Linked DNA regions of Stegostoma tigrinum. The protein of the gene in region 2 purifies or fractionates together with the protein of the main gene of each other region. This does not show direct contact. Links are inferred from orthologs where the notes say so. Each region holds a gene or a part of one and is shown on either strand. Other genes may lie near its edges. The genes, in order: pbrm1, bcl7a and arid1b.

Region 1 (3,754 bases), on a different chromosome or scaffold from region 2:
GGGGAACAGAAACAGCACATGGGAAAGTAACACAGCTGTAGCAAGGCAGATACCTTTACAGTATAGTCTCATTCATGAAATTGTTCCAATTCATGTGACTTTGTCTGATTCTAAGTATTAAATTGGCTAAACAAATACACTGCTTAACCATAGGAGTTTTTTTTCAGGGACAGTAAAAGGAAAATTAGACAACAATATCCTAAATCATATCTTATATTGGTTGGCCACACTCAAAGAAAGTTTACATGCTATTACGCAAAGATTTGTTCTGCTGAATGTCCTAGTTTTGTCCAAAAAAAGCCTTTCTCTTGTCTTTCTAAAATTTTTCTATGATAAGCTAGGGATGTCTATGCACTCCCAACATCTGAAACAAAAATAGAAATTGCTGGAGAAATGCAGCAGATCTGACAGCATCTGTGGAGTGAAAGCAGAGTCAATATTTTTGGTTCAGTGACTCTTCATCAGAATGCAACACTCCTGATATCACCTCTATCCTACCTCCTCCCAGTCATAAACTGCAGACAAAAAAATACTGCACTAGCACACTTCTTTCCACTTATGTACTGGTTTTGCAGCTGTCAAATCAATGTTCTATGCCTGTAACAAACCCTTCATGCAGGTGTTTTTCTTTACTTTCTGTTGGCTGGCAGGGGTAGCCAAATGTTTTGATTTATATTAGGCAGCCTCATATTTAAAGTTTTTACCAGCAGATACTGTACTAAAGTTAACATATAGCATGAGAATCAGGTGTAATGAGTTGGAATCGGTCAACTTGATGGGCTGAAGGGCCTTTTGTGGACTGAATGATTCTAATCATTGAGACAACATGGTTAACAGTACTTTCCAAACTATTAAGTCAGTGAAATTCAAAGAGGACAAATTAACATTTTTTAGAACAGAGAACAAAATAATTGTGCCGGCATTTTTAACAGGGTATCACCAGAGCTTACAGACGTAATTATCTCGTAATTTAAATAGTCAAATAATGGTGCACATCTTGAAGAAACGGATAATCTTTCCATAGATTCAAATGCAGGGCGCCTCAGTGCATAAAAATCTCTGGAGTTTTTTTGCAAAGAAGTTTCTTAGGAAGATAGTAATTTATAGATGGAAGCAGCATCGTGTTTATTGCCTGAATTCAAAATTAATTTTGATAATATCGAAGTGGATAACATACTGATATGTCAAAATAAATGTCAATCATTCACATTTGTTGAAGAAGTTATTTCAGTACTGACAATTTGATGGACTCACCGTAAAGATAGCAGACTAACTGCGTCAATGACAGGATGAACAGTCTATCTCACAAACTAATGAGATAAGAATTAAAAATAAAAAGAAAAGCAATGTTTGGAGAAATAGAATGGGTCAGAAGTGTGTAAAAAAAGGAAGAGAGAAATGTAAGCTTAAGTGGAAGAGAGTCAAAAAGGAAAAGTTAAACAACACAATTTATAATCTGTAGAGGAGATCCATCTGTCTTAATTATTTCCTTTTAAAGTTAGAGATGAGGTGACTTTGTGGAAACATGAATCTTGTAATTAAAACAGTTCTTACACCATTTAGTACTAGTCCTGCTTTTCTATAACAAGTCAAAATTCATTTTAACAGAGCAAATAGAATAATTTCTTAAAAGTCACAGGTCAGCTGGCTGCCAGCTCCTGCTTTCGCAAAGCAAATTTTGTAATAACATGCAACACATCAGGTTATCTCAAAGTTGCCATGAATAGCTGCGCTACTTACAAATTCATAACTTACAGTGAATTCACTGTTACTTTCTCAGCAAATTCTGGCCTAACGTTTTTGCCCAGTGGATCTTAGTAAACTGTGACTATGTGGAAAATTTGGTTTAATTGGACAACTTTTTTAAAAACTGAAGTGCCATCTTAGAAATGTAAATATGCTTAAAATGTTGTTATGACAACAACCATAAAAATGTGGCATGTTCCCCTAATCAGGAAGTGTTCTATTCCTAGGATTACCGGCAGATTTTATTCCCCGATTGTACGCAGCTCCATTTCAATTTAAAATAAACCCACTGACAACAATACTAGTTCATTGTCTTGACATCTTAAATGTACGTTCAATCACTGAATATCCAGCAACGATGTCTGGATGATGTAGGCAGGGTACATTTCATTCATACCTTTGGAACAGGGCGAAAAATAGGCTTAAACGTAAAAGTTAAAATATCTGCTTCCTTTCAATATGGGCAGAAACAAAAACAGCTCATTTAGGCGCTGAATGAAAGGTGGAATGAACTGAGAGGTGGACACAAGCCATCGCGCGGTTGAAATCTTGACTCCCGGGAGCTGACTGACAACAAAAGAAGCAGCGGCCTGAGCCTCACAAACACCTTGGCAGCCACGCAAAAACAAACTGGAAAAAGACTGCAGGCACAACTTCCACACATCACTCATCTCAGTACAACTCAGCAACCGAAGCCGTCCTTACCCTACTCGGCTGATCCCGAAAGAATATATGATAAAATAATAATAATAACAACAAGAGATCCACAGTCTCCTCCTATACCCAACTATGCCCCTATCGTCAGCATCAGCGGCTCAGCCGTAAAGCGGGTCGGGGATAGAGTATTGACGACATTGACGTGCTCTCTCACTGTGTGTTTACGGCAGGCGATGGGACGTTTGGGACTTTGTCACGTGGATTGCTCTTTTTGCAGCCGGACGGTATGAAGCGGCCGAGTGAGTTGTGTGGCGTGGAATTGTAGTCTTTACTGTTCGTTACATTCTTTTTTTTATCCGCAGGAGTTAGTATTGTTTCGATTCATTGCCCTCATTGTTGCGTTTCCTTACAGAGCTGAAAAAGGCGAGCAAGCGCCTGACATGCCACAAGCGATTTAAGATCCAGCGAAAGGTGAGCCGGGGTGGAATCCACGAGTTGTGGACGCCCCAATATTGGGTACATTGTTCGCTCTGGGAAAGCTTGTGAGATATAATAACCGGATCGTAATGTATTGAAACTGGCTAAAGAAAGAGCAAGTACTTTTATAGCCAACCTGAACTGCGCCAAGCCCCTTCACAATCACCTAAGTTAGTACTTGTACGAGCACGTGGCTTTAAGGCAAACTGCGTAACACATAGTCAAGTACAATTTGGTATAAACTCTTAGTATGCAGTTCGAGCACCTTGCAATTTTTGTACATCACGCTATTTAGAAAAAGTTTACTGCAGCCTATTCACATTTTTAAATGATTGGGCAGGAGTATTGGATGATTAGATTATTAACAAAGAGCAGATGAAATGCATTTTGTAATGATTGAGAAGTTCAGGATACGGATTTAAGATGGAGTTTTGGAAATCTTTTCATTATGTTAAGCTGACGGAAGAGAGATAAACAAGAATAGAGTGGACATATGTGAGCATGACTTATGGTCCTTGTCAACTAAATGTCAACAGACATGTTTCTGTTGTAATTTTAGTGTTTATTCTATATACTTTTTGTAATTCACTGCTTGAATTAGTGTGCAGTTATACCTCATTGATATTTCAAGAAATTTGCAATTTACAATCTATAGAGCCTTTTTGAAGAAAACCACCCAGATTTGACCATTTTTAATAACGTGACAAAGAAACATAGTACTGGGTCATTTGGCCCTTCGAGGCTATTTCTCCGTTTGGAACAATGGCTGATAATTTTGGGGTCTCAGTCTCACAATTTGACTGACTCCATAAACCTTGGATGTGTGTCAATCTTTTTAATTTAGCCTTTGATAAATTTTATATTTATTAGATTG
Region 2 (3,754 bases):
CATTCCTGGTTCCTCTGCTCCAATTCAGATGGCAGCAGGAAAAAGTTCCTATTCCTGATTGTTATTTAGCAATACATCCTGTTTTCAGCATTGGAAAGACATTATGTAGGATGGAATCAAACTTGGCAACGATTCCTTTCTTCTGTGATTAGCCCATCACCACACTTTCTGGTTTCACATAAGAATAATTACAAAATATTGCTGAGTAGCTCAAGTAAAATCTTGAAGGGAAGAAATCTGGAAGGAAACAAAATTCAGTTTAAATTAATGACGAATAAATAAACTAGGTGATGGCAATCTCTCAAATTTCTCTCCTCTAAGGCATTACATCCTTCAATGGTTAGTTGTAGAATTGTATTCAATAACATGCTTATGAAGCAAGATAGGATGTTTTATTACAAATAAGATCCTTTATAAATAGAAGTTTTGTTTATTTAAAGCAGTCATAGAACTTAATTCAAGTGATAGCACTCCCGTCTGTCAGAAGGTTAAAACCCACTTCCAGATACCTTGGGCACAGACTAGACAAGAAGCTCTTGCACAACAGTGAAGATGAACTGCATCTTAGAAAGTGTTGCTTCAAATTACACACTAAATTGACATGTCTGCTTTCAAAATAGTTTCATCGGAGCATGAAGTTTGAAGCTGGCCATTTGGGTTTTGTTTAAGTCTGCTCCAGCATTACTAAGACCTGGTTTATAATCTCAACTGTACTCTTCTGTGTCCACTATAACATCCAACTCTGCCTTAATTAAATTCAATGATCCAGCCTGCATTCCAAAAGACAGAATTACCCCGGAAGTAATTGGTAAAGTTTATGCCTCAATGTCCTTAAAACATTATACTGTAGACACTTTCTATGCAAATTGCTACCAGCTTACATTAATTTCACTTCATTACCTGCTCATTCTCTACCCACAGATTCACATACTTGTAAAGGTTGGGCCTAGAGCCTTCTTTAAATATCATTGACTCATTTGATCACAAGGTCTTTCATTGTACATGGGAGTGTTACATAGCAGTATCCAAGTTCTGTTACCCATGAGAAGTCCATGTATCCCCTCAGGTAAAGAGAATTTAGTGTACAATAATAAACTTCAAAAGTACACCTTTGCCTCCAAAATTATGTCAAAACATCCTGAGGTTGTGAAAGTTGCATATAAATTTAAATGTTTTCCTTACTGTTCCTTTTCTCAAAATAAATGCTAAACATATTCGCAATTTAAAAAGTTAATAACAGAATTCAAATCACCTACAACGCTCTCTACGTCATGCCTCAACGTCAAGAGAGGGATTTACAAATTGTGATTCTAAGCAGCAACACAAATTAAATCTGGGTAAGAGGTCACGTTAGGACAACCAAGATAGCAGCAATATGAATAGAGCACGTGGATTCTAGTTACAATGTTTACAAGTAACTGAAAACAACAGGACGCGGAGTTATTGTGTGCTCTCAACAGCTGATTGCGAAGTGGATACATGTAAATTGTTACCTCTGCCAAAATCTAACTTCACTCAAAATGAACTAAAAAGAATATGCAAGACAAAACAGTTATTCACGAAAAGACTTTTTATTCGTGGCTAAATATTTATGCTTTCCAATTAGCGCAAACTCATGCATTGCCCGATCACGCAACAGAAATTTTGTCGTCTAAAAATACTAGATAAATATAATAGCGAGAAAATACGCGCACTACTAGATATTTAATTTTACACTCGGTTGATAGTGACCCAGTTGAGGTTGGCTACTTCCTCCTCCCTTCCTGGCCTCGCCCTGTACTAAAGTGCGATCCAAAGCGCTAAATTTAAAAACCTTCATCAACAATAAAAATGAAAGAGGGCTGTGGAGCGTACGGGGAAGCGCCGCGCCGAAGCAGAGCCGACAAAGGACGCGGTCGTCTCGCAGTCTGCAGCCGGCACCGACACAAAGCAATGGCACAGGCTTCATGTGACTGCAGCGAAATGGATTCTGGGTTCAGCCCTCATTCCTATCGATGTGGGTCGGCTTTGAAGTGATTTTTTTTTAATTTTAAAATAAACCTGAAAAGGCAATCCCTATCCGGCTGTCCGCTCACCGGCGACGGAATTCCCCTCCTACAAAACCTGGATTCCGCTCCGACCCAAGTGATCTCCTTCCCCTACCACCTCCTCCTCCTCCTCTCTTCAACGACCGAGAGGGAAACGCCGACCTTTTAAAATCATATCCCCGTTGTGTTGTCGGTTTTGTTTTTAAAAAGACCCCTTACCATTTCCGTACTTTTTCGATAGCTGCCATAACCCTTTTGATGTCATCCTTGGCCCTGCTCCTGGTCTCGGCCCGCACCGACCTGCCGGACATAGTGAATTGTGGAAAGGCCGAGCGCCGCCAGCACAAAGCAAGCGAAACAACCTCTCTCTACCCGCCCCCTCCCCCCCAAACCAGGGCCGCCGCTACTGCTGCTGCTGCTCGAGCCGCCCTGCCTGCGCCTGCGCAAACGTCCGCCCCCGCGCGCGCGCGCGCGTACACATTGGAAGGAGAGCCGCGTGAACAAAGGCAGCACCTATCGCGAGATCTCATTCCCCCGCTTTTCCCGCCCTGCCTCCATTCAGCCACGTGTTTCATGACCGTAGAACCACGCGCGTCGATAGGTCCGCACGTTGAATAAACCAGTCCAGAAAGAAAACCTACATCGGACCCTTCATGCCGAGAAAAACTGGAATATGTTTTCGTTCAAGCCTTAAATGGCGACTTAAGATCCTCGGCCTTGGATGGCGGCTAGCTTATTTCCATGCACTTTCACATCTGTAATACACCAACGCTCCCTATTTAAACAACAATCCTAATTCTCTTCAAAACCAGCGAGAAACCAAACGGCACAAAAGCTCGATTCTAAACAGAGCAGGTACTTGGTGACTGAGCATGTCCAATGTCTGCCCTGGCCACCCTGCCACTGCTGTTTCTGCACAAAGTCCCTGTGTGCTCCTTGGCCCGTTTCCTTCTTGACACTTTATCCATGTATATCGGCATTGGAAAACCACCAGCCTTAGCACATCATGCCGGTCTCAGAGCAATTCACCAGTCAGTTCACACCTTCAACCCTCTAATTTGGAGCAAAAGAACTTGTATGTTTCTGCCGGTTGCTTTGCATGCATGCTGGAACACATGCATCTTATGGCTCTTAGCTTGTGTTCTACCGCTGATTGACCTTAGAACTTATCTGGAGACATCCATCCTCTCTAGATAGCATTGCTTTCTTACAGCACGAGCTCTTGACTGCTGACTTATAGATTGCCAGAAGGAGTGGTAGACAGCTTGTCATTTTGAGGAGCACTGGATATTCAATGTATCAGTCAAACAAGAAGTGGGCATGTAATGATGGCACCATCCAATGTCAGAGCAACGTGCATCAGCAGCTTATGAGACAAATATACTGCATGTGCGTTGAGCAAATGACAGTGAGAAAGTCAATGGGGAAATGCACTTAGTAGGGCATGGGAAGATTATGGTTGGTCAGGGGTTAATGCCATGGCAATCTTATTCCAGTTACAGAGTTGGTCACAGTCAGTCCTGCAGGTGACAGTCAAGTAGTTTAGGGATGGCAAGTAGGTCAATAGCAATGCTATTGAGACATCAGTCCAGGGGTATATTTAGTTTTACCTGCAATGAATCGAGAAAAACTGAGTATGATGTAAGTATGGTACAAGATTAGTTAATGGCCACACATAAGCATGAGAGGTGATGACATGTCCCAGTGATTGAGTAGGAAAAGCAGAG
Region 3 (3,754 bases), on a different chromosome or scaffold from region 2:
TTAACAACCCGACTACAACTACCACCATACCATTGGCACGGAATTGAACTTATGGGTCTGTATAGTTATACTGAAGCATTTACCATGAGCAATCAGACAAAGAGATTTCAATTTAATTAGAAAAAAAGGAAATATAGTTCACAAAGTTAAAGTTCTAGTTTTTAATATTGCTACAATTGGTGTGGAATCAAAAGCAATAACAATTATGGTATTTTACAATAGTAAATTGCTCTATATGCAGTACTTCCTGGGCAATACTTACAAAGCAGTTAATTTTCTTTGAATGAACTAACCATAATACTCATTTGTATAGATTTCACTTAATAGATATTTTAAAATAATACTGTTCTAAATTACTTCTCAATTCATCCAACAAGCTTATCCCTTGATTACACAGAACAGGTTCTGAAGTGTACGGAATATCTATTGCTGTTTCATTAAAGTTACCAACGCTTATAATTAATGGCTGATTTTAGTAAATATGCATAAGCTGGTTATTCCAGAATATTTTAATATGTCAACCGCTTGTTACTAAACAAGTGTTTCACTGCCAAAGATGGTTTATCGAATCAAACACATTTTAAAAATGGAAATTTTGATATTTAAGTGCAACTGGAATGTCGAAGGGAATGAAAGTTGAAGCGGTGTTGATTTCTCTTAATGATCCATGCGCTCTGTAAATTGTGCGGATTCTTAGGAAACGTGCAATGTGGGCTTACGATTGCGACGTTCAGGAACTTGTATTTACATCAGCACTGATAAATGCCCAGTGGTGAGTGTGAGAACCAATCAGATGGCAGATTAGATGTCAACTCGGAGGCAGCTGTCTAGAGACTCGATTCCAGGCGTTTTACCTCCATAATTCAAATTGCAAACCTTGCAAATGAAGGTGAAGAGATTCGAATACGAGCTGAATGGACCTACCAGTTTTCATACACCATGAAACAAAAATCAACCCGAGCAGCCTGGAGGGTAAAAGTAACTGAAATGGGTGGGGTCAAAAACATACCGAATAGCAGTTTAAATTAACAAAAGGAAACTTAACTGATTTATTTAATCTAGAAGTAACCTAACTGGAAGTTATCAGTTCAGTGCATAAATCCGCACAGCGGACACCCATCGCTAGGGGTAGAAAGCACAAACTCTCTGCATACGGCGTATCCCAAGAAAAAGAGTCGCTAAAACTCTCTCCTTGCCAGTAAGAAGTCATATGAAACGTAGCGCGGCCTAGGTCCCTGACCAGCAGTTGCACGACTTTCTCTCTAAATATCTTCACATCGCACAACGCCAGCTCCATTCTCCCTTCAGGGAGAAAGACACCGACAACACAGGCCGCTTTACCTGTGTCCTGCCCAGAGGCTGCGCCGAGCTGCCAGGGCTCATGGCCGTGTGGCTGCGGGCTTGTCCTGCTCCGCCGCCACCACCACCACCTCCGCCTCCGCCTCCCCAGGGTTGGCTGCTGCCTACTCCGTATTGACTGCCTATGTCGTTCCCTTTGAACGAGGTCTGCGAAGGGCCGGGATTACTGTAGTCCGGAAAGCCATATCCCCTCATGGGGCTGGGGGAGGTCAGTAGCTGGTTGAGAGTTGGCGTGGCCCCCGAATGCTGGTTTTGGCCTGAGTAGCGCTGAAATGCCCCGGCCAGAGGCGGCTGCTGCTTGCCTTGATGGTGGCCGCTGTTGGTGGCCCCACTGGATCCCATATTGTTGGCCCTGGGAGAGTTCATTATGCCGTAACCAGGGCTGCTGTAAGCCGGCCTGTACCCCGAGTAGTGGTTGTAGTTGTTGGAGTAGCCGTCGTGAGAATTGTGTAGCGGGCTGGCGCTCAGCTCCAAGCTGCTGGAAGGATGAAGCCCAAGCCCCGGGCTTTGTTGTCCGCCATGTTGATCGAAGTAGGGTCCTGGACCGGGGCCTGTTCCTGCCGCCGCCGCCCGGTAATAATAATTATAATCGTGGAGGCCAGGCGCCGGCTCTGCTTGAATATTGGAGCCTGCCGGGTGCTCATATCTCTGATCGCCCATTTTGAGCAATTGGTCGTCGGCCTTATTATTGTTGCCCTGGTTGTCAGCGCTTAACAAGATGTTGTCTTTCCCACCACCGCCTCCATGTTGAGTCTCTGCCCCGCCGCCTCCTTCTCCTTGATGATGGGGAGGAAGCAACAATTCAGCGCCGGTGGGTTTCAGTTTGTGATTGGGAATTATCCCCGCCTCACTGGCGGCCGAAGATGAGGAGGAGGCGGTGGACGCCGAGGAAGGCGAGGCTGAGGCGGGTTCTTTGTGCGTTGGCTCTGGGTTCGGGTTGGACGAGGCCGACCCCGAGCCTCCAGCAGCGCCGCTGCCTCCGCCGTTGTTGGCCGGACTGGGGCCAGGCCCCGAGGAGTTGGCCATGGTGAGCTCGCCGTGGTGCTGCTGGTGGGGAAGGTGGTGCTGGTGGTGGTGGCGAGGATGGTGATGATGATCAACGCTGTTTAGGTTCAAGCCGCCGCCACTGGGATCTCCGCCGTCACCGCCGAGTCCTCCTACCGGAGCCGCCGGTTTTCCGTTGTTGACGCTGTTTGGGTCGGGGCCGCTCAGGCCGGGGCTACCACCGTTGTTGCTACTGTTGGCCGGAGCTGCTGCTACTTGAGCAGCCATGATCATCTCTCAGAAAATCAGTCGGAGAGCAGGGAAAGACACAGACACGTCTGCTTCCTTTTACACCCGATCATTAAATATTATTAAAAAAGAAAAAAAACTTGTCCTCCTCCAGTTTGAAAGCAAAAGAAAAATAGGCTCACATTCTCTTCTGTTGCATGGTGATTATAATAATAAATTAAATTCTATTTTCTATTTTTGTTAAATAGGTAGAAAACTTTCTCCAGATCTGTTTTAAAAATCAAACTTTCCTTTCCTCTCTAACCCGGATATGGGTAACTACATGTCTAGCTGAGCCTCTGGCCCAGCATGGCATGAGGACTCCAACAACTATTATCCATTCCTCTGATTACTGCATATCAACTCGAAAACACGGGCTGGAACCTGTATCTCTCCCATACTGCACAATCTAAATGCAGTGACGTTTATAATTGTTTTACTTTCTATGTTGTTTAAAAACATGAATTCTAATTTCCTAACCTGTTAATATGTATAACTTACCATAAACTATTGGCAATCATTTCTATTTGATGAATAACAACATTAATTTAAACCTATGATTCTCTTAAGTTGCCATTTATTGTAATCTGTAAACATAGTTTGTATTAATTGTATCTTACCTTAATGTGTTATAAAATTGACCCACCAAACAAAATGCTCGTTATCAACTAATTCAAACTTTGTTTCCCATTTTAAAAAGCATCAGTCTTCATAAGATGATATGGTAGTTGTCGATTCTCTGCATATCCCAAAAACGTCAGCTTTTGTGCTCCTGAGATGCTGCTTGGCCTGCTGTGTTCATCTAGCCTCACACTTTGTTATCTCTGCATATCCCATTTCATTTTGAAAACAATTTAATAGATTTATTACATTTTCTCAATACTTATCACAATTAACATTAGTAAGATGAGATAGTAAGAGCTGCAGATGCTGGAGAATCTGAGATAACAAGGTGTAGAGCTGGATGAACACAGCAGGCCCAGCAGGAAGACTGACGTTTCAGGCCTAGACCCTTCTTATTGCTGAAGAAGGGTCTAGGCTCGAAACGTCAGCCTTCCTGCTCCTCTGATGCTGCTTGGCCTGCTGTGTTCATCCAACTCTACACCTTGTTATCTACATTAGT

The links.
Region 1: the proteins of bcl7a (region 2) and pbrm1 purify together in Homo sapiens (affinity purification with mass spectrometry; 3 studies listed by BioGRID and IntAct, counting the BioPlex papers as one, with this or other methods). This does not show direct contact. The link is inferred for Stegostoma tigrinum from reciprocal best matches to the Homo sapiens genes BCL7A and PBRM1.
Region 3: the proteins of bcl7a (region 2) and arid1b purify together in Homo sapiens (affinity purification with mass spectrometry; 4 studies listed by BioGRID and IntAct, counting the BioPlex papers as one, with this or other methods). This does not show direct contact. The link is inferred for Stegostoma tigrinum from reciprocal best matches to the Homo sapiens genes BCL7A and ARID1B.

Annotation. Positions count from the first base shown.
Region 1 is NC_081364.1:19,751,998-19,755,751, reverse strand, and holds the start of pbrm1 (protein polybromo-1), read right to left. Parts: upstream 2,569-3,754; 5' UTR 2,452-2,568; intron 1-2,451. Other genes in the region: gnl3 (guanine nucleotide-binding protein-like 3), read left to right, coding at 2,690-2,702, 2,816-2,874. UniProt on the Homo sapiens protein: Involved in transcriptional activation and repression of select genes by chromatin remodeling (alteration of DNA-nucleosome topology). Required for the stability of the SWI/SNF chromatin remodeling complex SWI/SNF-B (PBAF).
Region 2 is NC_081379.1:25,482,308-25,486,061, reverse strand, and holds the start of bcl7a (B-cell CLL/lymphoma 7 protein family member A), read right to left. Parts: upstream 2,430-3,754; 5' UTR 2,339-2,429; coding exon 2,247-2,338; intron 1-2,246.
Region 3 is NC_081362.1:36,513,028-36,516,781, forward strand, and holds the start of arid1b (AT-rich interactive domain-containing protein 1B), read right to left. Parts: upstream 2,954-3,754; 5' UTR 2,638-2,953; coding exon 1,342-2,637; intron 1-1,341. UniProt on the Homo sapiens protein: Involved in transcriptional activation and repression of select genes by chromatin remodeling (alteration of DNA-nucleosome topology).